Macaca fascicularis: one gene and its partners. The protein of the gene in region 1 interacts with the protein of each later gene in a pairwise test. Links are inferred from orthologs where the notes say so. Each region holds a gene or a part of one and is shown in the gene's direction. Other genes may lie near its edges. The genes, in order: HSD17B14, NEK6, MPG, PHF1, CA8, TBC1D22B and SNAPC3.

What was found.
Region 2: the proteins of HSD17B14 (region 1) and NEK6 interact in binary tests that used the Homo sapiens proteins (3 or more experiments, as listed by UniProt). The two-hybrid records come from large-scale screens. The link is inferred for Macaca fascicularis from reciprocal best matches to the Homo sapiens genes HSD17B14 and NEK6.
Region 3: the proteins of HSD17B14 (region 1) and MPG interact in binary tests that used the Homo sapiens proteins (3 or more experiments, as listed by UniProt). The two-hybrid records come from large-scale screens. The link is inferred for Macaca fascicularis from reciprocal best matches to the Homo sapiens genes HSD17B14 and MPG.
Region 4: the proteins of HSD17B14 (region 1) and PHF1 interact in binary tests that used the Homo sapiens proteins (3 or more experiments, as listed by UniProt). The two-hybrid records come from large-scale screens. The link is inferred for Macaca fascicularis from reciprocal best matches to the Homo sapiens genes HSD17B14 and PHF1.
Region 5: the proteins of HSD17B14 (region 1) and CA8 interact in binary tests that used the Homo sapiens proteins (3 or more experiments, as listed by UniProt). The two-hybrid records come from large-scale screens. The link is inferred for Macaca fascicularis from reciprocal best matches to the Homo sapiens genes HSD17B14 and CA8.
Region 6: the proteins of HSD17B14 (region 1) and TBC1D22B interact in binary tests that used the Homo sapiens proteins (3 or more experiments, as listed by UniProt). The link is inferred for Macaca fascicularis from reciprocal best matches to the Homo sapiens genes HSD17B14 and TBC1D22B.
Region 7: the proteins of HSD17B14 (region 1) and SNAPC3 interact in binary tests that used the Homo sapiens proteins (3 or more experiments, as listed by UniProt). The two-hybrid records come from large-scale screens. The link is inferred for Macaca fascicularis from reciprocal best matches to the Homo sapiens genes HSD17B14 and SNAPC3.

Annotation. Positions count from the first base shown.
Region 1 is NC_088393.1:56,819,704-56,823,853, reverse strand, and holds the start of HSD17B14 (L-fucose dehydrogenase), read left to right. Parts: upstream 1-1,350; 5' UTR 1,351-1,473; coding exon 1,474-1,561; intron 1,562-2,044; coding exon 2,045-2,083; intron 2,084-3,020; coding exon 3,021-3,103; intron 3,104-4,150. Other genes in the region: PLEKHA4 (pleckstrin homology domain-containing family A member 4), read left to right, coding at 1-110, 505-767. UniProt on the Homo sapiens protein: Catalyzes the NAD(+)-dependent oxidation of L-fucose, yielding L-fucono-1,5-lactone, which rapidly converts spontaneously to L-fucone-1,4-lactone. Can also act on D-arabinose and L-galactose, with lower catalytic efficiency. Does not use NADPH.
Region 2 is NC_088389.1:19,820,475-19,824,759, reverse strand, and holds the start of NEK6 (serine/threonine-protein kinase Nek6), read left to right. Parts: upstream 1-1,485; 5' UTR 1,486-1,608; intron 1,609-1,827; exon of another isoform or gene 1,828-1,897; intron 1,898-4,285. UniProt on the Homo sapiens protein: Protein kinase which plays an important role in mitotic cell cycle progression. Required for chromosome segregation at metaphase-anaphase transition, robust mitotic spindle formation and cytokinesis.
Region 3 is NC_088394.1:815,201-817,559, forward strand, and holds the end of MPG (DNA-3-methyladenine glycosylase), read left to right. Parts: intron 1-273; exon of another isoform or gene 274-626; intron 627-1,413; coding exon 1,414-1,790; 3' UTR 1,791-1,859; downstream 1,860-2,359. UniProt on the Homo sapiens protein: Hydrolysis of the deoxyribose N-glycosidic bond to excise 3-methyladenine, and 7-methylguanine from the damaged DNA polymer formed by alkylation lesions.
Region 4 is NC_088378.1:138,280,905-138,285,185, reverse strand, and holds the start of PHF1 (PHD finger protein 1), read left to right. Parts: upstream 1-1,481; 5' UTR 1,482-2,343; intron 2,344-3,347; 5' UTR 3,348-3,363; coding exon 3,364-3,522; intron 3,523-3,604; coding exon 3,605-3,686; intron 3,687-3,792; coding exon 3,793-3,888; intron 3,889-4,028; exon of another isoform or gene 4,029-4,214; coding exon of another isoform or gene 4,215-4,218; intron 4,219-4,281. Other genes in the region: kinesin-like protein KIFC1, read left to right, coding at 772-816. UniProt on the Homo sapiens protein: Polycomb group (PcG) that specifically binds histone H3 trimethylated at 'Lys-36' (H3K36me3) and recruits the PRC2 complex. Involved in DNA damage response and is recruited at double-strand breaks (DSBs).
Region 5 is NC_088382.1:70,231,322-70,235,567, reverse strand, and holds the start of CA8 (carbonic anhydrase-related protein), read left to right. Parts: upstream 1-1,446; 5' UTR 1,447-1,699; coding exon 1,700-1,799; intron 1,800-2,964; coding exon 2,965-3,156; intron 3,157-4,246. UniProt on the Homo sapiens protein: Does not have a carbonic anhydrase catalytic activity.
Region 6 is NC_088378.1:134,396,958-134,400,953, reverse strand, and holds the start of TBC1D22B (TBC1 domain family member 22B), read left to right. Parts: upstream 1-1,196; 5' UTR 1,197-1,342; coding exon 1,343-1,398; intron 1,399-1,521; exon of another isoform or gene 1,522-1,653; intron 1,654-3,996. UniProt on the Homo sapiens protein: May act as a GTPase-activating protein for Rab family protein(s).
Region 7 is NC_088389.1:83,399,835-83,403,334, reverse strand, and holds part of SNAPC3 (snRNA-activating protein complex subunit 3), read left to right. Parts: intron 1-1,257; coding exon 1,258-1,340; intron 1,341-3,310; coding exon 3,311-3,475; intron 3,476-3,500.

The DNA of each region.
Region 1 (4,150 bases):
AAGGAACACCACCCCTTACTTGCCGACTTCCGAAGGTCACCGGGAGCGGGTTCTCAGCCTCTCCCAAGCCCTGGCTACTGAGGCGTCGCAGTGGCACAGAATGATGACAGGTGACTGGCTGGGGATGTTGAACTTCTGGGTTTTAGGGAGGAGAAAGCTGGAGACCTGGAATCCCAGGTCCTGGAGAGGAGGGGTCTAGGGGCCGGTGGGAATTTTTTATGTTGGCGAGGAAAGAGTTGGGCAGAGTTTGGGAGTTTTAGGTCTCAGGCAAGAGTGGACTGGGTTCCGGGACACTTGGGAGGAGGGGAGGAAGAGGTCAGGGGGCGGGGAGAGGACCGACATCTGAGTCTGAAAGAGGTCTGGACTGGGGTGTCCAGACTCCTGGGTCTGAGGGAGGAGGGGCTGGGGGCCTGGACTCTTGGGTCTGAGGGAGGAGGGGCCTGGGAACCCGGAGTCCTGCTGCTGAAGTTTGCCATTCTTATGTCTCCCACTCATCCTCTCTAGGTGGAAATTTGGACTCCCGGGGAGACCCTCTTCCCCGTGTGCCGCTGCCTCCTTCGGACCCCACGCGCCAGGAGACCCCTCCCCCAAGATCTTCCCCGGTGGCTAATTCGGGTTCCACAGGGTTCTCTCGCCGAGGGAGTGGGCGTGGAGGAAGTCCCGCCCCCTGGGGGCCCACGTGGGATGCCGGGATCGCCCCTCCGGTCCTGCCCCAAGACGAGGGGGCGTGGCCTCTGCGAGTCACTCTGCTACAGTCCAGCTTCTAACCCGCCCAAACGTGGCAGCCAATCGGAGCGTGAGCACGTGGTCTGGAGGTACCGCCGGAGATCTGGGACCACTCAGGGCATCAGGGGCGTGGTCTGGTCCCCATCGCCCGTCCGGGAGGGAAATGGTTTCTATGGCCAAAGTTTGATTTTCTCAACACTGTCTAAATTTGGATTAAAACTTTGAACTTTTAGTCAATAGCTTTGTTTCTGTCTGTTTGGGGTTGTTGCACTGGGGTCTCTGAGGGGCAGAGCCGGAGTCGTGCACTCCTGGGTCCTGAGAGAGGAAGGGACAGGGTGCTTGGACTTACAGGTCTCTGGGAGGAAGGGATAGAGAATCTGATCCCTCAGTCTGAGAGTGGAGGGGCCTGGGTCAGGATTCCCGGGTCTGAGGGAGGAGGGGTTGGGACCCTGACTCCTGGGTCTGAGGGAGGAGGGGCTGGGAGGCTGGACTCCTGGGTCTGAGGGAGGAGGGACTGGGGCTCCTGGATTCCTGTGTCTGTGGGAGGAGAGGAGTGTCTGAGGGAGGAGGGGCTGGGGACAAACTTCCAGGTCCCTAGCCTTCCTGGCAACGCCCCCCGAGGCTGGACTTCCACGATCCAGCTTCTATTGAGGATTTGATGCGACGGCCTCACGTGGCTTTGGAGGTGAAAAAGGCCCAGAGTAGAGACACAGAGAGAGAGAGAGAGAGAGAGACCGGTGGACACGGATGGCTACGGGAACGCGCTATGCCGGGAAGGTGGTGGTTGTGACCGGGGGCGGGCGCGGCATCGGAGCTGGGATCGTGCGCGCCTTCGGTGAGCCGGGTCTGACTGCTGGGAGCTGTGGAGCGTGAGAGAGGAAGGATGGGGGCGGGGCGATGGGGGCGGAAAATAGGGTCTCCAATACTGCAGCCGGGATTCTGATCTTATAAAAGCCAATTTGCAGGCTAAAGTAAGCGTGTGGCGCGGTAGGCTAGGGCTGTCTGGCAGGGTCTCCGAAGGCAGTGGCCCCTTTCTCTGGGTCTGTTGGTATAGCTGCAAAACCAGTGGTTTGGGGAATGGCCCTGTCAGTTGTGGAGTTTGCTCTGGAACCCACGAACGGGGGATCAGGAGCCTCAGCAGAAACCTGGGCAGGCAAGGAGAGTATGTGTCAAGGCCTCTGCCCTCTGTCCTGTGGGTGATCATGAGACTGGGGTCACGAGGGGAGACGGAGATCGGCCCCAATCCAGGTGGCCACAAGAGGGCGGCAGAGGCTTTAACCAAGACTCGGAGGGTAACGTGTTGCCTTCCTATTCTCAGTGGACAGCGGGGCCCAAGTGGTTATCTGCGACAAGGATGGTGAGTGAGGGTCCCTCAGCCCTCAGCCCTCACCCTGGTCCTTCCTCCCTCAGTCCAGGGGTCCAGGAGCCCCAGCCCCTCCTCCCTCAGTCCAGGGGTCCAGGAGTCCCAGCCCCTCCTCCCTCAGACTCAGGAGTCCAGACCCCCAGCCCTCCTCCCTCAGACCCAGGAGTCCAGACCCCCAGCCCCTCCTCCCTCAGACCCAGGAGTCCAGACCCCCAGCCCCTCCTCCCTCAGACCTAGGAGTCCAGGAGCCCCAGCCCCTCCTCCCTCAGACCCAGGAGTCCAGACCCCTGTCCCTCCCCCCTCAGACCCAGGAGTCCAGATCCCCAGCCCCTCCTCCCTCAGACCCAGGAGTCCAGGACACCAGGCCCTCCTCCCTCAGACCCAGGAGTCCAGACCCCCGGCCCCTCCTCCCTCAGACCCAGGAGTCCAGACCCCTGTCCCTCCTCCCTCAGACCCAGGAGTCCAGACCCCCGGCCCCTCCTCCCTCAGACCCAGGAGTCCAGACCCCTCCTCCTCCCTCAGACCCAGGAGTCCAGGCCCCCAGCCCCTCCTCCCTCAGACCTAGCAGTCCAGGCCCCCAGCACCTCCTCCCTCAGACCCAGGAGTCCAGGCCCCAGCACCTCCTCCCTTGGACCTAGGAATCCAGGGCCCCAGCCCCTCCTACCTTGGACCCAGGAGTCCAGATCCCTGTCCCTCCTCCCTCAGACCCAGGAGTCCAGGCCCCCAGCCCCTCCTCCCTCAGACCCAGGAGTCCAGGCCCCCAGCCCCTGCTCTCTCAGACCCAGGAGTCCAGGCCCCCAGCCCCTGCTCTCTCAGACCCAGGAGTCCAGGCCCCCAGCCCCTCCTCCCTCAGACCCAGGAATCTGCAGGCCCCCAGACCCTCCTCCCTCAGGCCCAGGGCTCCAGGCTCCCAGCTCTTTTCTGCCTGCAGAGTCTGGGGGCCGGGCCCTGGAGCAGGAGCTCCCTGGAACTGTCTTTATCCTCTGTGATGTGACTCAGGAAGATGATATGAAGGTGAGCCGAGTTCCCATTCCTACCCCCATCTCCGCTAATGACCAGTTCTTTGTTCTCCTCCAGCCATTTGCATGTGCCTTTCCCTCTACTTTTCCTTCCTCTCCTGGCTCCACTGGACCCGTCAAAGGTTTCCAACCAGTGTCACTCCACACACAAGATCTTCTGTGACTGACGAGCAGGTCACATGTTCCTTCTCTCCCACCTCTCCAAGGCTCTTAGCACATCTGACACGTGGGTGGAAAGGAATAAGTCCCTCAAAGTGGGTCAACTGTAACTGATTTTTCTGTCTCTTTTTTGGAGGTGTCACTGTCACTGAGGCTGGAGTGCAGTGGCGTGATGTTGGTTCACTGCAACCTCTGCCTCCCAGGTTCAAGCCACTCTCCTACCTCAGCCTCCTGAGTAGCTGGGATTACAGGCGTGTGCCACCATGCCCAGCTAATTTTTTTTTTTTTTTTTTTTTTTTGAGACGGAGTTTTGCTCTTGTTGCCCAGGCTGGAGTGCAATGATGCGATCTCGGCTCACCGCAACCTCCGCCTCCCGGGTTCAAGTGTTTCTCCTCTCTCAGCCTCCTGAGTAGCTGGGATTACAGGCATGCTCCACCACACCTGGCTAATTTTGTATTTTTAGTTGAGATGGTGTTTTTCTGTGTTGGTCAGGGTGGTGTTGAACTCCCGACCTCAGGTGATCCGCCTGCCTTGGCCTCCCAAAGTGCTGGGATTACAAGCATGAGCCACCGCACCCGGCTAATTTTTGTATTTTTAGTAGAAACGGGGTTTCACTATGTTGGCCAGGCTGGTCTCGAACTCCTGACCTCGCGTGATCCACCCACCTCAGCCTCCCAAAATGTTGGGATTACAGGTGTGAGTCACTGCACGTGGCCTGTAACTGATTTTTTTCTCCATTATTTCTGGGTTCCTCTTTCTTCCTTTTAATCAGTATCTCTCTGTTATCTGCCCCCCTTTAGTAACTGTCCCCTATACTCTCTCTGAATCCTTGTCACCCCCATGCCCCACCCCCTAACCCTGGGTGCAGTGTGGCTCTGACCAG
Region 2 (4,285 bases), on another chromosome or scaffold:
TCCATTTTCCCCCCATTGGTTTGTGATGTATGCATTTTCATCCACAAGAGCTGAGACCAGGCCGGCTCCTGTGGGCCAGCTGCTTCCTTGTCTGCCCTCTTGTTCCAGCAGCCCAGGGCTATGCTATTCCTGAGGCAGGGCTGCCTAGTAATTGGAACACACAGGTACTAGAATTAGACAATCTGCCGTCCACTTTCTAGCGCAACCACTTACCATCTGCGTGACTCTGAACAAAAGAATTTGCTTTTTATTGTTGTTGTCCAGGCTGGAGTGCAGTGGTGCGATCATAGCTCACTACAGCTGCTAACTCCTATGACAAGAGTTCCTCAAGAGATCCTCCCGCCTCAGCCTCTCGAGTAGCTGGGACTGCAGGTAGGCACCACCACACCCAGCAAATTCTTACATTTTTTTTTAATAGACATGGGGTTTTGTTATATTGCCCAGGCTGGCCTCAAACTCCTGGCCTCAAGGCATCCTCCCACCTCGGCCTCCCATAGTAGTGGGATTACAGGTGTGAACCACCACAACCAGCCTGAAATTTCATTTCTAAGCCTCATTAAGCCCATCTGTAAAATGGGCACAAGGGTAACGTTGGCACACATGGTGGACGCTCAGTTGGTGTCATTATTACACATCACGGCCAGTTAAAGCACCTTCACTCATTTGGCAAACAGAAGCCCGACACGCATTCACCCTGTGCCCAGTACAGTGCTGTGCCTCAGCAGGCAGTCAGTGTCCCTAGCTCCAGCCCTCCTGGGGGGCAGCGCAGTTTTGAATATGGAGGGGAAGCGGCAGGGGTGGAAACGACCCAGCCAGGAGCGGCTGCTCTCGGCGCAGGGAGGAGGTGAAGTGAGAACTGAGCTGCTTGGGTCCCAGGGAGGCTCTGACTTCTAGAGGGCGCGTTCAGCATTCTTTAGTGGGGACTTTTACCACTTCCAGAAACCTCTGCACATTGGCTCTTGCTGGACCCTGGGGGCCACAGGAAGTGGGAGCTCCAGATGAAGAGTCGCTGGCACTTTGAGGGCGGGGGACAGGGCCTTCCCCTCATCGGAATACTCTTGGAGCCTACTTCAGTGCCTGCATTCAGCTGGTGCAAAATAAGTGCTTGTTACTTTGCCAATTTCAGTATAACTAGGACTGTGGCAGGAGCAATGCTAGGTGATGGGGAATCCGAAGATGCACGGGAGGAGTTCAAGGGTTGGCTGCCTGCAGACCCTCATCGTAAGTCTAAAGCCAGAGAAGAGGGGGAGACGCCGGCCTGCGCCCTGTGACTCTGGGCCTCAGTCTTCTCATCTCTGAAATGGGGAAGGGGTTTCTCTGCCGAGCGGATCGGCCGCAGGACTTGGCGGAGTCGAGGGGTCCAGGCCCAGGAAGGACGCCGTCGGGGCGCCCCCCGCCCCTCAAGCTTGCGTGGCGGCAGCGCGCACGAGCGCAGGGGGCGGCGCGGCCCCGCGGCGGGGAGGGGCGGGCGCGCGCGCGCGCGGCGGCGGAACCGAGCGGACTGGCGTGCGGCCGCGGCGCCGCCAACTCGTGTGGGACGCACCGCTCTAGCCGCCCGCGGGCCCGCGCACCGGTCCCCCCGCGGCAGCCGAGCCCGCCCGCGCGCCGGTGAGTAGCCTGGGGCTGGGGCCGGGCCGGTGGGGCCCCGCGGGCCGGGGAGGGGCGGGGGCCGGGCGGCTGGGCCGTCACCCCCAGCCGGGCCGAGGGCGGGCGCGCGCCCGGGGCTCCGCGGGGGAGAGCGGGAGGCGGGCGCGCGTGTGGCCGCGCGGGGCTGAGCGTGTCGGTGGGCGGGCGGGCGGGCGCGGGCGGGGGCGGCGGCGTGTCCGCGTGTCCCGGGGTGTGCGCGTCCCCGGCGGGTGTGCGTGTGCACCCCGGAGCGTCTGGTGGCGTTGTTGGGGTGAGTGCGTGCGGGGACGCGGGCATGGCTCCCCGCTACCCACTTCCCGAGTGGGGACGACGGGCGGAGGAGTGTGCCGGGCGCCGCAGGGAGTACGTGCGGGTTTCAGGGAGTGTGTGTGTGCACGTGTGTGCATTCCAAAGTGATTTGTGTGCACGCACATGCGTGAGCCCAGGAGGGCGAAAGTGTGCCTGTGTGGGTGTGAGTATAACGAGTGTGCAGGACCGCGCGAGCGTGTTTATTACTGAGGTTGAGGGCCCCCTTTGCGCCCACCAGGCCTTTGCACAGTGATGGCCCCCAAGCCAGGGAGCCCGTGGAGAGAGAATCGGCCTGGCATGGGCTGGGGGTCAGGACTGGGCCTGATCTGGTGAACCAGGGGCCGGGAGGACAGACTCAGAGCCTGGCTGGGCCTGACAGAGGCGAAGGTCTCAAAACCAGGCTGTGGCAGGGCCACTGGCAGGACCCTCTCTGCACACACAGGCTGGGCGAGCGGAGGCTGTGGTGGGCCTCGGCCGGGCACCCGAGGACGGTGTTTTCCTAAATACCCTCCGGGCTCCCCTGTCTTTGTTCTTGACTCTTTTCAGCCAGGCCTGGGGGGCTGACCTTATACTTGCCTGTGTATGTGGGTGCCTCTCTGCCCGCCCTGCTAAGTAGATGGATCTTTTGATTTATGTATACCTCGCTTAGGCTCCAAGTGTGAGTCCCAGGACGGTAACAAATTGATCACAGCGGGCTTGGGACACCAGCTTTCGAGGTCTGTCCTTGCAGTTTTGACTGACAGGCTTTTGTGTGTGTGTGCGCACTCTCTAACTGTTGAAAATCTTTGCAGTTGAAAGTCTTAATTGTTTTAAGGCAAACTTTAGAAACTCCAGAGCTCCCTACTTGCTCTGACTTTTCCAAATTCAGCTTGCCTTTTCTGGGGGAAAATGTCGCCTTAGTTTGGTGTACAGTACGTGCAGGCAGGTCTTGAAGGCACGTTTAAAAACCGTGTCGTTAATGGAAGAAGAATTTCATTGAAAGGGACGCAGAGCCGGCTGGAAGCGCCTGCCCCGGACTCAGCGAGTTTGAGCTTACCGAGTGAACTTTGGACGTCTTCTTTTAGCAAACAAAACCTGGAAGGAAGCAAAAAAGACCCACATTCTTTTTCTTTTTTGTCCTGAAAATGAAAAAAAGAAAACACCTTCTGAGTTTGCTGGAAATGCCCCCTCTCCTTCCCCCATCAAGGCCAAGCCCTCCCTGCATCCCCCACCCCCAAATAAAATATGCCTGTGGGGAGCCGTGGAATGAGTCACTCCCTGGCAGAAAGCCTGATGGGCAAACATTTGGGAAGGTTCTTGCCTAACTTCCCAGAAGAAAAGGCCCAGGATTTAAAATGGTCCCTGTGGTTTGTCAGCCTCTGCCGTCCCGTCTGCTTCGGAAATGACTAAAAAGTAGTTTGTATCTCCACAAAATAAAGTCTCAGACTGAAGGCCTTAGACCCAGGTTGGTCTGGATTTAGAGCTGTTTGGGTTTCCAGAAATGGAGCGCCCGGCTTTAACTGGTGGCATTTCTGGTGGGTTTGAACAAGGGCAGAGGAGGGAAATGGGGAGGAGGTTCCCATTTACAGAGCAGAAGGGACTGTGTGCTGGGAGCCGTTCTAGGGTGTGTGAATCTCCCAGTGCTCTTCTGCGACAGAAAATGCTTTTGGTTTTGTGCACAAGGAAACTGAGGCACACGGGGGTCAAGCCTGTGTCCTGGGGCAGCTGAGAGGAGGTGGGGGCAGAATCCTAAGTCACCTGCCCAACCTCACAGCCTTTCCTCTTTCCACTGCACTTGGGATATGGTATTTGACTGGCTGAGGTGCACAGACCTAGTGCTGAGTACTTTAACACACATCCGTTCATTTTCTTCTCATCGTAGATAGGGTTTATTATCCCCATTTCACAAATGAGGAAACCGAGGTTCAGAGACGTGACCTGCATAATTTCGTTAAAGTAGCACCATGACAGATGGTCCCCATTTACTTTTACTTATTTATTTAATTTTGAGACAACGTCTCTGTTGCCCAGGCTGGAGTGCAGTGGCGCAATCTCAGCTCACTGCCCCCTCTGCCTCCTGGGTTCCAGTGATCCTCCTGCCTCAGCCTCCTGAGTAGCTGGGATTACAGGCACATGCCACTGCACCCAGGTAATTTTTGTATTTTTAGTAGAGATGGGGTTTGACCATGTTGGCCAACCAGGCTGGTCTCAAACTCCTGACCTCAGGTGATCCACCCAACTCAGCCTCCCAAAGTGCTGGAATTACAGGCATGAGCCACCATGCCCGGCCATGTCCGCATTTATTGAGGATATACTGTGTGCTACGTCTGGTGCCGTATTTCCCCCAGTCCACTCACCAACACTGAGATGG
Region 3 (2,359 bases), on another chromosome or scaffold:
ATCGTATTTTTGTCAGGATGTGGGACTTGGATGTGTTGTGTGTGAAGGAGCCAGGGCAGGGGGGTGTGGTGATGAGGGCGGCCAGGCTTTGACTCATTTGCAGGCGGCTCTGTGGGGGCTCAGTGGGACCGTGAGGGGCATGTGTTTTGCACTCACAGGGATGTAGAGGGTCCCGCTCCTTCCTACTGAGGTGGGTCAGGGTGGGCAGCGGGTGCCCCACCTGGTGAGCTGGAAGCAGCGTGGGAACCACAGAATGGACGGGAACTTAAAGGCTTTGCTTGGCCTTGATTTTAGCTTGAAATACTTTGACAACTGGCTGGTCAAGGGTATCTGCTGAGAGGAATGCCGCACTTGCTGGCTTTGCTGGAGGGCATGGCCTCGTCCGCTAGTGCTCGCCCCTGGCTGCTGATGCAGAGGCTCACATGGCCACAGCCCAAGAGTGGGGACTGGCTTGGCCACCTCTGGGCTAAGCCTCTGACTCCCAGGTGGCTGGGAGGGCCAGGGGTGCACAGGTGAGTCACAGCAGGTGTCTCCAGGGAGCTGCCTTGCTGGAGGGCTAGGGCTCCTCTGGCCAGGGTCCAGGTCATCATTGTCCCCAGCCGGGAATCCAAGGGACCTTTCCAAACCTGCAGGGCAGAGGAAATTCAGATATCTGTGCTTGAGTGAGCCTCTGGGCCCGGGAGCCTTCACTTGCTGTCTCTGCTTCTCAAGTGGCCTGGCCTGGTGAGGGAGGGGCTAGGCTGGAGGAAGGATCCCAAGGGAGGTGAGGGGCGCTTCGCCAGCCTTCTCCTGCCCTGCCTGTGCAGGGTGTGGCAGTCCGTCTTTCCACTGAGTCACTGCATGGGCTCTCCCGACATCCGGTGCACACTGACAGCTGCTCTAAGCCAACCCCTAGCCCCCACCACTTGACCAACACAAATGCTGAGTGGGTGAGGCAGAAGGGGAGCCCTGGGGCCTGGCTAGGCCCAAGGTTTCCTGCTTCCTGGCAGAATGATCGCAACCGAGGACTGGCTCTCTGGAGCTTCCTTTGCTGGCCTCATAGCTGCTGCCAGTCACAAGACCAGGGGAAGCCAGGTAGAAAGGAGATGGTATCCGGCATTCATCATGTGTTTTTAACAGTCTGGCTTTGTGAGGGCGGCCACAGTGGTGGAGGCACTGCCTGGTGGTGGCAGCCAGAGGTGCCCACAGGAGGCACACCTCATGGTGCAGGCATGGAGGATGGCAAGGTAGGCAGAGGGGTCTGGACACAGTGAGGTGCAGCCCCCTCCCACCAGGTCAGACCCAGGAGACGGTGCAGGTGCATAGAGCAGGTCCCTGGCCCAGGCAGGAAGGCAGCTGTCTGGATGTGCACTAGGGCAGAGAAGACAGGAGCCTAGGGAGGCTCCACTTCCACATTGTCCATCCATCCCACAGGGGACGGGGCTTGCGTCTTGCTGCGAGCACTGGAGCCCCTGGAAGGTCTGGAGACCATGCGTCAGCTTCGCAGCACCCTCCGGAAAGGCACCGCCAGCCGTGTCCTCAAGGACCGTGAGCTCTGCAGTGGCCCCTCCAAGCTGTGCCAGGCCCTGGCCATCAACAAGAGCTTTGACCAGAGGGACCTGGCACAGGATGAAGCTATATGGCTGGAGCGTGGTCCCTTGGAGCCCAGTGAGCCAGCTGTAGTGACAGCAGCCCGGGTGGGCATTGGCTATGCAGGGGAGTGGGCCCGGAAACCCCTCCGCTTCTATGTCCGGGGCAGCCCCTGGGTCAGTGTGGTCGACAGAGTGGCTGAGCAGGACACACAGGTCTAAGCAAAGGGCCTGCCCAGACAATATTTTTTAATTGTTTAAAAAACAAATAAATGTTTTATTTCTAGAAAATTGCGCTTTAGCCAGAGCTCTTCTAGGTGATCAGCATGTGTCTGGAGCCAGCTCTTCCTCCAGGACACGAGGGCTGGGGGCCCTGAGTACGTAGTGCCAGACCCAGTGTGGATGCTGGGGAGAATCATCAGTGTGGGAGCAGAGAGCCCCCGAGGGTGGGGTCCTGCACAGTGGGCCATGCCTCCACCAGCAAGATGTGCACAGGTGACAGGGCTGCTCCAGCCTAGCAGGGGAGCTCAGGCCCTCGCGCCCCAGATGGTCAGGACCAGGTCACAGCTTCGCTATGAGCCTGTTTGTGGCTTCCATGGACTGTGGTGAGGGCTGGGCCAGGAAAGGCTCATGGCAGCCTGGGAGGAAGAAGTGCATGGCAGACAGAGGTGGTGCTAGGGACAGGGCCACAGGGCACTTCACAAATGGAAGGCTGTCAGAGAGACGGGGACAGGCCACACAAGTGTTTCAGCACATTCTTCAGGGTGGCCACAGAGGGGGGTTCCAGGGAG
Region 4 (4,281 bases), on another chromosome or scaffold:
CCATTTTGGGCCAATAGGAACCTCCTGGCCGGGTGCGGTGGCTCACGCCTGTAATCCCAACACTTTGGGAGGCCGAGGCGGGTGGATCACGAGCTCAGGAGATGGAGACCATCCTGGCGAACACGGTGAAACCCTGTCTCTACTAAAAATACAAAAAATTAGCCAGGTATGGTGGAGGGCGCCTGTAGTCCCAGCTACTCAGGAGTCTGAGGCAGGAGAATGGCATGAACCTGGGAGGCGGAGCTTGCAGTGAGCATCGAGATCGAGCCACTGCACTCCAGCCTGTGTGACAAAGCAAGACTGTCTCAAAAAAAAAAAAAAAGAACCTCCTTCAGGTTGGCGCCAGTGTCCTTTAGACAGAACTCAAGCAGTCTTTTCAGATTCAACTTGTACATTTCCTCCCCAGATTTCAACTGATCCATTTTCTAAGGAGTCCTAGTTCCTAAATGGGTGTTATTACTCTTTTATCTCGGTTTAAGTATTTTACAGTGAGAGAGGTTGGAGGTCTCTAGTACAGGGTATTGCTGGAAATGAAAGCCTCCTCTCTCTGCTCCTGTATTTTCTTCTGGGGCTTCTATCTCTTCTCAGGCCTTTTAACCTCCTCCAAACCGTGTGCAGAGGAGAACCAACCATAACTGGGACCAGCCTGAACCTGCCTTTGGAGGCCTTATTTCAGTATTTCTGAGGGCAGCCCTAGCATTGGAGGATGGAAGGAGATCTTGGGGAAAATGTATTGGTTACTCTGCAAACTTTTATCCTGTCTACCCCCAGGTGAACCAGTGTGTTATTGGTACTGCCCAGGCCAACAGGAAGTGAAGACGGATCCAGATCTTGTGTTGGGAGTGTGTGTGTGTGTCTGTATCTGTATGTGTATGTATTGGGTGAGGAGTGGGAGGGTTGCTGGAGGGTGCTTTATTGGGTAGAGGGCACCATGTCCCAGGGCTATCAAATAAAGAATAGTTTTTTTTTTTTTTTTAAATAAAGGTTTATCTGCCCAAGAAGGCAGATATTTTCATATCTGTAAAGGTGGGAGCTGTGATCTGTCCCCTCTGCCAAACGTTTGTGTGGGAGGCGGGAGCGGGGGCTGAGGGCTTGGGCTTTTCCTCTCCTTAGCTCTCACCGGTTCTGGACCATGGTCTGGATCATTTTCCCCTCTGCTAATACCCCCTCCCCCGTCCCTCACATCAGGGAGGCGTGCCCTCTAGCTATCCACACCCTCTCCTTGGTCACTAGTTATCTAGATAAGTTTCACCCTTCCGCCGGCCACCCCAGCCCCAGGGAGCAACGTTCCTTTGGTGGGTGTCGGCAAATGGGGACCGGACCCCGGAGTCCAGAGGCGGGGCTAGCGCGCGCTCCCAAACTGCTGGCTCTTTCCTCCCGCCCTTTCCCTGCCTTTCCGTTCGAACGGCTGGGGCTCTGCCCGCTCGTTGCCCATTGGCTGGCTCTCGGTGGCGTCACCGCCTCGGGTCCTTGCCCCCTTCGTCTTTGCGCCAGCCCTGGAAGCACGGGGCGGGACGTACCCGGGAAGCGGCGCGCACGCCCGCCGACTCCCTCTCGCCAACCGCCGACGGCCGCCGCCCCGTGAAGGAGGAGCTCAGTCCTCCCAGGTGCCGCGCGCAGGAGGGGACACGCGTGCGCAAAAGGGCGGCGGGTGGGGCGCGACTTGCCACGGGGAGGGCGGGGCTGGGGCTAACGGCGAGTGGAGGGCGGGGCGCGCGAGGGAGGAGGGCGTGGTGGGGGCATCGAGAAGGGTGAATGGAGGGCGGGGCCGTGAACTGGGGCCGGGGGGCGGGACTTGGAGTGACCATGGGGGGTGGGGCAGTTAACGGATGTGGCATGGGGCGGGGGACCAGTCCGGAGGCGCGCTGCCGGGAGGGGGGATTCCCTCGTGCCCCAAGGGCGAGTCTCAGGTCGGAGGAAGGGGCTGAGGGGATTCCCTCTCCCACCGGGTCCGACTGTTTGCTTCCCAAGCCGTGGAGGGCCTGCCTCTTCCTCGGCACCCTCCAGGCCTGTCGGAGGTGAGGGAGGTGGGGTGAGGTGGTGCCCGCCCCCCCCTCCGGCTCCTCCTTCCCCCCAGTCCTCCCCTCCCACCACCCTCCCCCCCAACCGGTCCGTCCCTCCCCTCCCTCCCCCCCGCCGCCTCCTCCTCCTGCCGCTGCTGCTGCTTTGGCTGCTGCGTCATACGCCCCAGAGCCGCCGGGACGGAGGGGCTGGGCCTGGGGACCCCCCGGCCTCCGCCTGCACAACCCCCCCACGCCCGGACGTGCCCTCTCCGCGCGGGGGACTCGCCTAGGTCTCCTACGTCTGCCCCTGCCCGGCTCCTGGCGGCCCCAGCTGTCACCGGTAAGGAGGCGGCAGGAGGCGCCGGTGGGGGGCAGGGAGCCGGGGGTCGGCGCGGGGCGCGGGCGGGAGAGCCTCGCCGCCTTGGCCTCGGGTCCGAGCTGGGCCGACTCAAGTCCCTTCTCGGACTTGCGGTCCTGGGGAGTGGAGACCAGGACTGGGACACGCCCCCCTCCCGGGGCACTCGGAGAAGTTGTCTAACCCGGGGGCAGGGAGCCCCGAATTTGAGGGTGACCTGACATAACCTGGCACCAGGATGATTGTTCTTAATGAGACACGCAGGCCTGGGGAGACAGCCGTTTCTGCTCTGGAAAACATCTCCAGAAAAGGTCCCAAAACACATCTCTGGGCAACAGGACACCCTAATTATGATACCTCTAAACTGAGTGGTAGCCTTTGCTTCTACAACCGTAATTTCTCCTAAAATTTCAAGGCCAGGATATAATATCCCAGGAGAGCTCTGGAAGCTGGGAAACTAGCAACTAGGTTTGGGGTTGGGGGGAGGGCAGTTACCGTGAGGAGAGCCAGTCACTAGAGTTGAAAGAGGACTCAAGAAGCTGGTGATGGGTGCCTGGTGGTTTCCTATCCAGGTGTCTCAGGGATTTGGAGATGGGGGCACAGATCCTTCATTCTTGACGGCAAAATAGGCAAAGAAAATGGGGAAGTTGGCCGGGCGCGGTGGCTCACGCCTGTAATCCCAACACTTTGGGAAGCTGAGGTGGGTGGATCATGAGGTCAGGAGTTCGAGACCAGTTTGGCCAACATGGCCAACACCCCCTCTCTACTAAAAATACAAAAAATAGCCAGGCGTGGTGGTGGGTAGACCTTTAATCCCACCTACTTGGGAGGCTGAGGCAGGAGAATTGCCTGAACCCAGGAGGTGATGGTTGCAGTGAGCCAAGATTGTCCAGCCTGGGCGACAGAGCAAAACTCCATCTCAGAAAAAAAAAATGGGGAAGCTTTCTGAGCATTCATAACCTTCTCCTCCCCATTTCTTTTCTGGCTAGGCCCCCCCAGGATGCAATGGCGCAGCCCCCCCGGCTGAGCCGCTCTGGTACCTCCTCACTTTGGGACCCAGCTTCTCCTGCTCCCACCTCTGGCCCCAGGCCTCGACTTTGGGAGGGTCAAGATGTGCTGGCCAGATGGACTGATGGGCTGCTATACTTGGGTACCATCAAAAAGGTAAGACCTACTTCTGATCTTTTTCCTATTTCCCTTATCTAATTCTGGTTCCCATTTCATTCTCTTTGCTCACCCATTCCAGGTGGACAGTGCTAGAGAGGTGTGTCTGGTCCAGTTTGAGGATGATTCGCAGTTTCTGGTTCTATGGAAAGACATTAGCCCTGGTAAGACTAGAGACCTGAGATTGCACATCCCATGGAAAACAAACCTGGCTTAGAGGGGCAGAAAGAGACTTAAGGGCAGGCCCCGTGACACTGTGTTCTCTCACAGCTGCCCTCCCTGGGGAGGAACTCCTCTGTTGTGTCTGTCGCTCTGAGACTGTGGTCCCTGGGAACCGGCTGGTCAGCTGTGAGAAGTGTCGCCATGGTGAGAGGGCAGGTCACCTGAATGGTCTAGCTTGCTCTTCCCTCCAGGATGGTCCTTATGTCACCTGTCGTGGCCTTAGTCCCCAAGCCACTGCTCTGGCCAGGCTGCTTAGCCCTATCTTAGTCCTCATCCCCTTTCAGCCCAGGGAGAAGCAGCCATGGAAAGGGGTGGTGTAACCTTTGCAAGCAGAGGATGATTTAACTGCATCCTTTTCTAACCATATGACCTTGGACAAGTCCCTTAACCTCTAGGAGCCTCAGTTCCCTGACTCGTAAAATAAGGATCATGTACCCTCTCATCAAGAACATGGTCAAGGATTAAATGAGATGGGTAAAGACTATTCCTGTCCCAATACCAAGCACACACAGGTATGCAATTAGTGGTCTACTATTA
Region 5 (4,246 bases), on another chromosome or scaffold:
ACCCAGAATGCAGTGAGTCAAGAATGAATTTAGTTTCTCACACTGGTTCAGTACTTTGCACAGTTAAGGAAAAGAGAAATTATATGAATGCTTAAAATCCACGGGTTATCCTCCAAGCTAATGTTGGCCAGTAGCTTTCCATCTATTTGGTTAAACCTTCCAGAAAGTGGCAGAATTGAGTGAGTTGAGGGTTCCCCCAACTTCTTTCCATCTCAGTGTACTTTATGGAGCAGTCTGTAATAGCTTTTTTTTTTTTTTTTTTAAAGGCTATGAGGTGTCTTTTTAAAAAGTGGAGGTGCTTAGCAGGCAGTAAAGGATATGAGCACAGAACCTAAACATTCCCAAACAGATCATTTCCATCCTTATTTGAGGAATCATGCATTCATAAGGTTGGTGTGATTTAGGAACAGGCCATTCAAACTGCAAATAGTCATCTTCATGAATGACCAGAGCATATAAAAAACAAATTGTACTTAAGGTCCTAACCCGAGTTTATTGTGCACATATATCTTCTAAAAATGTGGAGTTAACTTACTTAGGGGTTACTGACCAGGGCTTCCAAAAGGCGCAGGAACAGAGGGCTGAAGTCACTAGACTGGGAAGCACGTTTAAGAGTAACAACGCCACCTCTTTGGATCAGAAGAGTTCCTGTTTGTTATGCAATGTGTGCACTTCATTATTTACACAATTTCACTAGGTGACTGGGAGCTGTGTACACAGCCAGGTGAGCCTGCAGCAGCGCCCCAGACTCTGACACCGAACACCCTCTGTCTACTGCCTTCTGCTAGCCCTGCCTTTGAAATAATACCTTTTTCTGGAGGGGAAAAAAAAAAAAAAAGAAAAAAGGAAATCTCTAAATCATATCTTACTTCTCTAGATTACAACTATTTTCTTTCCTTAAACGTTTTTAGGAATTAATAGAACTTACTTGGAAAAATTTCCATACTCGTTTCCACTATGCTGAACGGACGATTTAAAAAGTAAACACTCAGAAAATACTAAGATTCCGCTGGAGAGCCTCTTTTTACTGTGTTATGGGGTCTCCCAGCCCTCTCCTTTCTCCTACCCATGGCAGCCCATCTCTCTCCTCCAGGACCCCTTCTTTTTGGCATCCTGGAGTACGGATGAAAATAAATAGGTGAGCAGCCTCTGGACCAGGCCAGGAACACAGGGGTCCTGAGGGCTGACCTTGGGAGACTTGCGGGCTTCTGGAAGGAAGGCGCGGGAGGCAGAGCAGGAGTCTCCGCTGCGAGGAAGCACCAGGGGCGACCCCGGGGGAAGGGCGGACGGGGATGCGTCGACATTTCCGTGACTTGGGACTGGTCGCCCAAGGCCCATTCTAACTGTCGGCTCCCTGGCCCCCGCGGCCAAAGAGAGAAGGGGGCGGATCCTCGCGTGCCAGACACGCCCCGGCCGGGTATAAAATTCGCCAGGCGCTCGCTCCCCAGGCCACCGCGGCTCCCTTGTTCCGCTGGGGCCTCCGGACGCGCTCCCCGCGCAGGTCTCTGGAACACTCGGGCCGAACGTAAGCCCGCTTGCACTCACACTGCAGTTCACACCCGCAGGCGCGCTCGCACCCACATTGCCGCTCACGCGCGCTCACACTCCCCCACGCGCGCTCCACTCCCGCTCCAGCCCCGAGCCCCGCGAAGGCGCAGGCACCGCCGCCGAGAGCGCCAAGGGGCCCCACGGCCTTCCCATGGCGGACCTAAGCTTCATCGAAGATACGGTCGCCTTCCCCGAGAAGGAAGAGGATGAGGAGGAAGAGGAGGAGGGTGTGGAGTGGGGCTACGAGGAAGGTAAGCGGCCACGAGTCGGGGTGTCCAGGGTCCCGCGGCGGCGTCAGTGTCTCGCCGAGCGCGGGACTCGAGTCCTGCTGCTGCCGCGCGCTCCGAGCACCTCCACGTCCCCTCTTTCCCACGGGGGTCTCCGCCACTTTCCCACTCCCCTGGCGCGTTTCGGGCGGGAGGCGTTCCAGGGAGGCGTGCTCGCCGCCTGCGTTCTCCCGCCGCCTTCGCTGTGGCCCGGGAGCCTTCTGCAGGGCTGGCGTTCGCACCTGCTGCGGTCCGGAGGGCGGGCTAGCCTCCAAGCCATGGCTGTACCTTTTATGTCTTCTGAGTAGTCAAGAAGAGCAGCGGTACATTTTACTTAACACCTGAGGAAGACAGTGTTAGTGTTAAGAATTCTTTTTTGACTTGAAGACTTTGGGGAGAAAGTGTTTCTGCCTCTGGTCTTTTCGTGAAGCCTGCTAGCAACGCTCGTCTTTCTAAAGTATGTCCTAAATTTCAGACTGAATCGTTGGGTTTGGCGAGAAGCGGTTGACTCTCTGAAAAACCAGAGTTTCCTAGATTTATTAAAGACCTAGGGCTCCTATTAGAGCCAACCAGTAGTGCTGATGTTTACTACATATGTTGAAACCAATATAGAATATATAATTTTAATTATAAAAAATTTGGAAAGAGTATGGGAATATATATGTACATAGATATATACATATGCACACTTTAAAATACTGCACTTGCATTTCTGATAAGGGGCGTCTATTTACTAGCATGAGAGTTAGGGTTTTTGACTGTCACAATGTATGTTTAAAGTTACAGCTATTTCCCAAATACTGAATGTAATTTTGAACTAATAAGCAGAAGAAATTGTTCTGGTATTCTTTTTTTCTAATCACTTAAAGATGACCCACATTTCCTAGAGTCATAAATTATTATGTCTTTGTTGACAAATACAAATAGAATATTTTGTTAGTCCGGGAATTTGTATATGGTATTTGATAATATCAGATCATTCAAATAATGAATGCAAAAACACATAGAATTACCATATTTCATCTGTATAGTGATGGTATCATTACTGTCTTCATAATATCAAGGATTCTAAGTGTTTGGTTTTTACATGTTAAATTTTACTGTAACTTATTTTTTAACCTGTTTTTAATGTATTTCATTTTGTTCTTAGGTGTTGAGTGGGGTCTGGTGTTTCCTGATGCTAATGGGGAATACCAGTCTCCTATTAACCTAAACTCAAGAGAGGCTAGGTATGACCCCTCACTGCTGGATGTCCGCCTCTCCCCAAATTATGTGGTCTGCCGAGACTGTGAAGTCACCAATGATGGACATACCATTCAGGTTATCCTGAAGTCAAAATCAGGTATTTTAGAAAATATGTTTGTGTGGTCTTTTAAACTAGAAGTCAGCATGGAGTTATCGAACTGTGATTTAACTTGCACAATTTAAAAAGTACAACTGACGTATCTCTATGTTCAGGATACCTTTATATTATAATATAAAGCATTTTTGGGAATTACCTTCTGAAACAATTTTGAAAGGATAAAAGGGTGAAATTATGATGATTATCAGTCGGTTGTTCTGCTTCTTACGATGTTACTGGAACAACATTGGTTTGATCACCTTATACCTTGTGAAATATGAGGACAGGTACATGCAGGTGCACTGATCTGCATTTTGTCCAACATTGTTGGTTAGCTTAAATCACTTAGATAATCATAATTCTGTTTTGCTACTTTGTGAAACCAAAAATTAGGATTTATTGACATAATGTGGCATTCAAGGTAAACTTCTCAGGTTAATTTTCTCTACTGTATTAATTTGCTGAAAATAATTTCAACTAATAACAGTAAAAAAAAAAAAAACCCTTTAAACTCAGTCAGAGATTTAAGTGGTAAACAAACCTCTTGCTTTTATTTATTTATTTATTTAAGTTCCATCCCATGAAACCTCCCCTACCCCTTGCAAACCTATTTGAGATGGATCTGAAATGTTCTGTGGAAAAGGTGTTCGGCAATTAACAAGGAAATCAGTTTTTGGCTTTATTGTAGGAAAGAGGAAATCAGATTTTTAAAAAATGTAGCATTAATAGCATGCATTTCATAGTGAATAATAACTATCTTTTTCTTTTGGGAAAAAATAAAGTATGTTGAAATATTAGGATGTACTTGATAAATAGAGACTGTGCTCAAACATTAATTCCAAGTCGATAAAGTTGATGCCTCAAACCATAAAATCTTTAGGTTTGTTATTAATCAAGGCAGCTGTTGATATCCAACTATGGATTTATTTTATTCATTGTAAATGTTTCTAAGCTTTAATTTAGAATCCATGAGATAGTCATAGATTCATGTCGTCTCCCTTGCTGTTGTGAGTTTAGTCAGCATGTGAGCATTGCCCAAAAGAGTTTCTGGGCTTTATATGTACTTAGAGTCAGTTTAAGATGTAAATTT
Region 6 (3,996 bases), on another chromosome or scaffold:
GAAGTAAAAATAGCCCTCATCATCCAATCCTATAATTCTAAAATTAGGGGACAAAAGAAGCTTGAAAATGGGAGTAATGTAGAAACCGTCGTTGGAGGACATACCCGTCGGGGGTCGGGTCTTTATGTATTCTCCAATATGTGGAAGTACATGTGGTAGCTGTAAATGGAGGGTGGCGGGGGAGTGGGGGACACGCAGCCCACCTCAACAGTCCTTCGATGGGACAAAAACCACTCTGGACTGGTGCCCGCTTTCCCTCTCTCCCCAAATCACCACGGAATACAACCACAGAAACTCAAAAACAGCAAAAAACACCGACAAGACATTCAAAGGATTCAAAATGCTAATATTAAATCTCATTGTCTGGGAAAATTAGATTGAAAATAAATTCAAGGGTGCAAGATTTATAACAGATTAACAAGGGAAATTAAGGATGTTGGTGGGGCCGGGAGGAGATACATCCTTAACTTTGTGATTCACACGATGGAGCTATACTGTGTCCTTCAAAGAAATCGTATTTGGTAATCTGAGTTGGACAGCTATGATAAACCATTTCCTATACACCGTTAGCATAGTCAGAAAGTGAGAGTTATGGATTGACATAGGGATTAGATCATTTGAATTTTTCACCCACAGCACAAGTCCTTCAATCGTTTTCAATAAACAGAGGGAGAGGGAGACTCTGATGAACCGTTGCTCACGTGTTGAGCAGTTAGCAATCCCGGGCTATCGGGTCCCTGCTGACCTTCAGAAAAACGAATGGACATCTAAACGGAACGAGGAAGGGAGGGTAATAACCAGAGTGTCATTGAGTTGAGAGATGTTAAAAATGGGCCACAACAAACACATGGGCCTTTACTTTTAGGTCAAATATTCCTATATATAAATACATAGTATGCTCTCTCTTGCCAAAAAATATTAGACTCAGGAACTTCATTCCTCACGAAGAAGATAATCCCCTCTCTTCCTTCCCATAGGTCCCTTACTTTACCTGCTTCTTCCCTCTTGCGGGTTAGGAACTTTGAGCCCCACCTCTCTGCTCGTCCAAGCTCCGCCTTCCCCGTCCACCTGTGTGCCCAGACCCTGACGTTACCCGTTGGCTTCAGCGGCCTGCAGGATTCCGGCTCCCGATTGGTCGGCCCGTCCACGGCTTGCGCAGCCCACCAATGGCAGCGGTGCTGGGTGGAGGGGTGCCCACATCCAAGATGGCGTCCCTAGGAGCTGGGAGCGGGTGACCGGCGGCGGGGAAGCGGCCTGGGTTGGCCCTCAGATTGCGGGGTCTGGGGGCATCTCGCCAGGCAACCCCTTGGCCCGCCTACAAGGCCTTCCCCCTGCCAGAGCAATGGCCGCTGACAACAGCAAGCAGTTTTGGAAGAGGAGCGCTAAGCTGCCGGGGAGGTGAGCCCAGGACGCTGAGAGGGAGAGGGTATTGGACCAAACCCTTCCAGATCCTAATCCCTAAATCCCGCGGCCCTGGGGCGCCACCGAGGCCGGAAGACTGGTTTGGGGCAGCTGTCAGGCAGAGGAGCGAACAGCGAGCTTTGGGGACGGCTGGATGTGGGTGTAGACCGGGGTCTGGGGGCGGAGGTTTCTGGAGGGGTGACCTCAGCGAGAAGGTGGCCGAAGATTGGGCGTAAAGGGGAGTGGAGTTGGGTGAGTAGTCAGTGTCGGCCCTGGTCTCGGGGGTTCCTCCCCAGAGCTGCTTCCCACTCTAATTAGGACTCCCTCTCAGGGGTCTCCACCACGCACAGGTGGTTGGTCGCTCGAGGATGGCTTGCTCCCCCAGCTCGGCACTTACCCGAAGGGTTCTTGTGGGAGTTTGGGGTCGCCTGCCGAGAGGGTTAGGCAGGAAAAGTGAGGACAATTCTCAACTCCGACCTTACTTTATCTTGAGTTGGCCTTTCCCACTGGGAATTATTACAAGGCGACCACAGAATCAGGTTATTCCTTTGGCATTTTCTAAGGATTTGTCCAACCCCAAGTGACTTCTTCCTCCCCTGTATTGTAATGCACTTCTTGTGCAAATGCACTAAATTCTTTCATTCTTCAGTTGTTTAGCTGGAGAGCAGACCTCCTAAGACTACTCCCACCCTCTTTGTGGTGTATGTTGAGACTTTTGGCAAATTATCCATTCATCAGTCTACTGTTGGTTTACTGTTTCAGTTTATTTTGGGCAAAGTCCTGAGAAGTATAAGGAAGAGTGTGTATTTCAGTCGTGAATCTAAGATTTCTGCCAGCCACAGTCTACTTGGTGATGAAATTCATGTTTGGTTGTGCCCCACGTGCTACCTTTTCTAATGGATTCAGGTTTTTTCTTTCTGGGATGATCTTTTGAACTCGTGACTTTTTTTTTTTTTTTTTTAAGCAAGAGGGAGATGAGGGTCAATAGTGGCTAAGTTAGAGCCTTACTTTTTTTTTTTCCCCCCAATGAAATAGAAATAAGGTCTGACTATGTTTGGGCTGGTCTGTAACTCCTCGCCTCAAGTGATCCTCTTGCCTTGGCCTCCCAAAGTGTTGGGATTGTGGGCGTTAGCCACCATGCCCCACCAAGAGTCTTGTTTTATTAAGGATCCTAGTAGACATATGGAAAATAGGTGGAAATCAGCTTTTAGTAATACTTATTAAATAATAGAAAGATAACTTCAGATTAAAGTGCTGCGGACTTGCGGTGTTGATATAACTGTTAAAGATGTTCTGTGTTTTTAGGTAAGCACCACTTCCTGCCAACTGATTCCTTTTCCTTCCTGGTTTAGTGAGCTCTCTAGTTGTGCTAACTGCTATTCTCCGGGGTTTTCCATAGTGAGATCATTAAATTTTGACATCCTAAGATTATAATCAGAATCAATAGGAAGACAGTTGTATCAGGAAGCAGTGCAAGAGATGTGCTTCTGTGCCTTCTGACTGGTGGTTGCTATTAACAATCTTTTTTTCCTGTATTTCCTGTATTTGACTATAAGAACAGTCAACTTTTTTAAAGCACTACTTTTCTGAGATAGGAAGAGAAGTCTTTTCAGTTTCTTCAAGCTTCTGGATTCCCTTTTCATTTCGAAGAATATAGAGAAATAGAGAACTTTTGAGTTCAGAAAGACTTGGGTTACTATTTGGGCTCTCCTGTGTGTGTGACCAAGACAAATAATCTATCTAGGCCTCAGTTTCCTTATCTATGAAATGAGAAATAAAAATACCTTCCTCAGAGTTACTGTGGGGACTAAGTGAAATACCCTATTTGTAAAGAACCTAGGACAGTGTTTATTTAGCACATTATAGTTGCTCAGAAGACAGTAGTTATTAATATTACTGTCATTATTAGAGCAAGTAAACATTTAAAAGAATGTTACTCAGATCCTTACCCCAGCTCATTGTCTTCCTTGTTTGTTTTAAGGTATTCAAATATTGTCACAATTCATAATAATTTTTAGTACCTTACTTGGTAAAGAGAAATATTTTTCAGCTGTGTGCTTTTAGCAGTAAAGCCCACAAGCCTCTGGTCGTGGGAGAAAACTAAGGTTCTTTTAGATAGAAAGGTACTTTGATTTAAAGAAAATATTAGAGCATTTTCTCAAGAATAGAACTTTTGCATCTGTACTCTTTCGGTCTTAGGGAAGAAAAACTTTCTCCTGGGTGGGGAAATGACACAAATGACTGTACTAGACGCATGGCAACTTGGAAATGAAACTGCTTTACTCTTCATTGCAAATTGAAAGGTGAAAAATCAAAGCGATGACAAGATTCTTTCTGTCTGATCATGATCCAACAACCTTAGTGACAACAAATAAAAATTTTATTACATAAAATAACAAGTTACAAATGAATGAAACGTTCTTTTTAAAAATAACAGCTTTATTGAGATATTAATATACCATGAAATTCATTCTTTTAAAGTGTACATTTCAGTGGTATTTAGTATATTCATTTATAGTACAGATGGTTTTGTGCAACTATCGCCACTAATTTCAAAACATTTTCATCATCCCGAAAAGAAACTACATACCTGTT
Region 7 (3,500 bases), on another chromosome or scaffold:
TCAGACCCTGCTTACCTCTTTGAGGGTGTAGAAGTATATTAAGTGGCAGATTTTGTATTGTAGCAGCTGGTCATATGACATTAAGTACATTATACATTTTAATCTCCGTAACAACCAATGAGAAAGGTAAAGGCTTTACTCACATTTTACATGGGAGAACAGAGGGTGAGTGAGATTTAGTGACTGGTCCAAGAAGAAACAAGATAGCCAGTCTTACAAGAGTGTCTGATGCGAACACAAGATGATCTGTAAGTGGGGGAATGAAGACAAGAAAGAAAAATGGAAGCTTCAAAGAAGTAAGAGAAAAAAATAAAATATTAGGGTAAAATTATTTTAGTACCTGAAGCATATATCTCCTATACATAAATTGCTTTTGGTCTTCACCACAATCCTGTAAGACATCGTGGCATATACTATTATTCTCATTTCACAGATGAGAAAACAGGTCTGAGAAGTGATTGCTACATACCAGAATCACAAAGCTAGTAAGTGGTAGGTTAAGGAAAAGAACTCAGGTCTTCTGACCCTCATCCAGGGGTCTAAATAGATGGTGAAGGACCAGTTTAACAGAGTGCTTCTCAGCTCTGGTTGCATGTTTTTTTCTAGAGAGCTTTGGAAAAATACTGATCCCCAAAGATTCTTAATTAATGAGTCCGAGTTGACATTTGGTGTTTGGTTTTTTTGTGATTTGATTTTGCAGTCAGGAGTGAGAGCCACTCCTTTGACGGAAGCTGTGGTAGAATGAGTTAAGAAACCTTGAAGGTTCCCACCAGTTGTGGTACAACTATGGTACCTGGGGCAAGATTGCTTGAGTAAAAATAGAAATTCAGATTCTGTCTGCCTAAGAGTTACTGAAAATATAAAGAGAGAATTTTTGTAAAAACATTGCAAATACAAAAAATGCCAGAAAAACATAACTTGATGATCATTGTTATCACTGGGGAAACATTAAAGATAGGACTTTGTTTAATTTTTAGTTCTAGTATCCAACACTACTTACTGCTGTATATTCATATGATAAAATAATGATGTTTATTTGATTTCTAATTGGGTTTCTTTCATGAATCTCGGGAGAATATACACATTTGAATCAAACGTAGTGATTAAAACAGCAGTAGGGTAAAATTGAAAGTAGCAGCAGTTTTTGTAACCTGTATTAGTGTGATTTTATGATACATAAATTTTGAATTAATACTTAGAGCAATTTCATAATTGTTAATAGTTGACTTTCTCTCAATACCATCTGTTTTCTTGTAGGACCTATACAAATCAGCCTTCTTTTATTTTGAAGGAACATTTTATAATGATAAAAGATACCCGGAATGCAGAGATTTGAGCAGGTATAGTTTCCAAAAATCTTCTCAAAGTCCTTCCTATTTCTAGTTATCAAAATAGTGTTATCTCCACAAATCCTATTATTGGCCTATTAAGGACCTTTGCCAAGGAATTATTGATAAATCTTGTCTTGAGCATTACATACATCCAAAAAAAAAATTAGCCAGGTACAGTAGTCCCAGCCACTCCAGAGGCTGCGGCAGGAGAATCTTTTGAGACCAAGAGTTCAAGGCTGTATAGCATGCTATAATCTCACCTGTGAATACCCACTGCTCTCCAGCCTGGGTAATATAGCAAGACTCTGTCTCTAAAAAATATAATAATAAATTAAATCCCATTAACATGCATTATTAGTCTCTGGCCTTTACATATAAGTAATAGTGGTAAATTAACCTGTCACTGTTTTTTCTGCCTATCTAGTATATACTATTGTTTGTGCTAGATGATGGTGATATATATGTTGCTTAAGTACATAATATAGAAAAAATCTATATCTAAGCTCATTTTAATGAGACCATACTTTCATTATCAATGTCTTAGCAATTAGAGTATATAATTATACATATTATTGTTGCCTTTTAAGAAAAAAAAAAAGTGTCGTTCTGTCATCGTACAGTGGCACGATCTCAGCTCTCCCTGCAACCTGTGCCTCCTGGGTCAAGCCATTCTCGTGCCTTAGCCTACCAAGTAGCAGGGACTACAGGTGTGTGTCATCATGCCTGGCTAATTTTTGTATTTTTAGTAGAGACAGGATTTCGACATGTTGGCCAGACTGGTCTTGAACTCCTGGCCTCAAGCCGCCTGCATCAGCCTCCCAAAGTGCTACATTACAGGTGTGAGCCACAATGCCCAGCCTATTATAGCCATTTTTTTTTTTTTTTTTTTTTTTTTTTTTTTTTTTTTGAGACGGAGTCTCACGCTGTTGCCCAGGCTGGAGTGCAGTGGCGCGATCTTGGCTCACTGCAAGCTCCGCCTCCTGGGTTCACACCATTCTCCTGCCTCAGCCTCCTGAGTAGCTAGGACTACAGGCGCCCGCCACCGTGCCTGGCTAATTTTTTGTATTTTTAGTAGAGACGGGGTTTCACTGTGGTCTCGATCTCCTGACCTTGTGATCCGCCCGCCTCGGCCTCCCAAAGTGCTGGGATTACAGGCTTGAGCCACCGCGCCCGGCCTTATTATAGCCATTTTTAATCTGTATTCTAACCCAACAGTTCAAACCTATTGGTTTCAGTGTTTTTGGTTTTTTTTTTTTTTTTTTTTTTTTTTTTTGAGACAGTTTTGCTCTTGTTGCCCAGGCTGAAGTGCAATGGTGTGATTTCGGCTCAATGCAACCTCCGCCTCCCGGGTTAAAGCGATTCTCCTGCCTCAGCCTCCCAAGTAGCTGGGATTACAGGCATGTACCACCACACCCAACTAATTTTGTATTTTTAGCAGAGATGGGGTTTTTCCCCATGTTGGTCAGGCTGGAATCGAACTCCCGACCTCAAGTGATGCGCCCACCTCGGCCTCCCCAAGTGCTGGGATTACAGGTGTGAGCCACCGTGCCCAGCCTTGCATTTCTTTATACTGTAAATAATTGAAGACTTCGATGAGCTTCTGCTTATGTGGGTTATAACTATCAATATTTATGATATTAAACATTGAAACTAAGAAATATTTGAAATATTAAATCTCATTACATACTAACATTTTGTGCAAAATATTTTTCAAAACTCAATGAGTGACGTTGTTACACATTCTGCATTTAAGCTAAAGTGATACACATCATGTAACCTGCAGAAAACTGATCCCTTATGAAAATTCAGCATTCCTAATCTCAACATGTATCAAACATCTTGGTCTTCATCTCAAGATGGCAACTGTCCAGTTAGTTGGGTGAGCTAGGTTAATGTGAATTACTGCAGTCACAAACTGTTTTCTGTAGTTTTTAAGTTTTTGTGGAAAAATGATATATCCTTGCCTTTTCCCCCCTTAGAACTATCATTGAGTGGTCAGAGTCCCATGATAGAGGATATGGAAAGTTTCAGACTGCTAGAATGGAAGATTTCACCTTCAATGACTTGTGTATTAAACTGGGTTTTCCTTACTTATACTGTCATCAGGGAGACTGTGAACATGTCATTGTCATTACTGACATAAGGTAGGTTACTTTTTTTTTTTTTCCT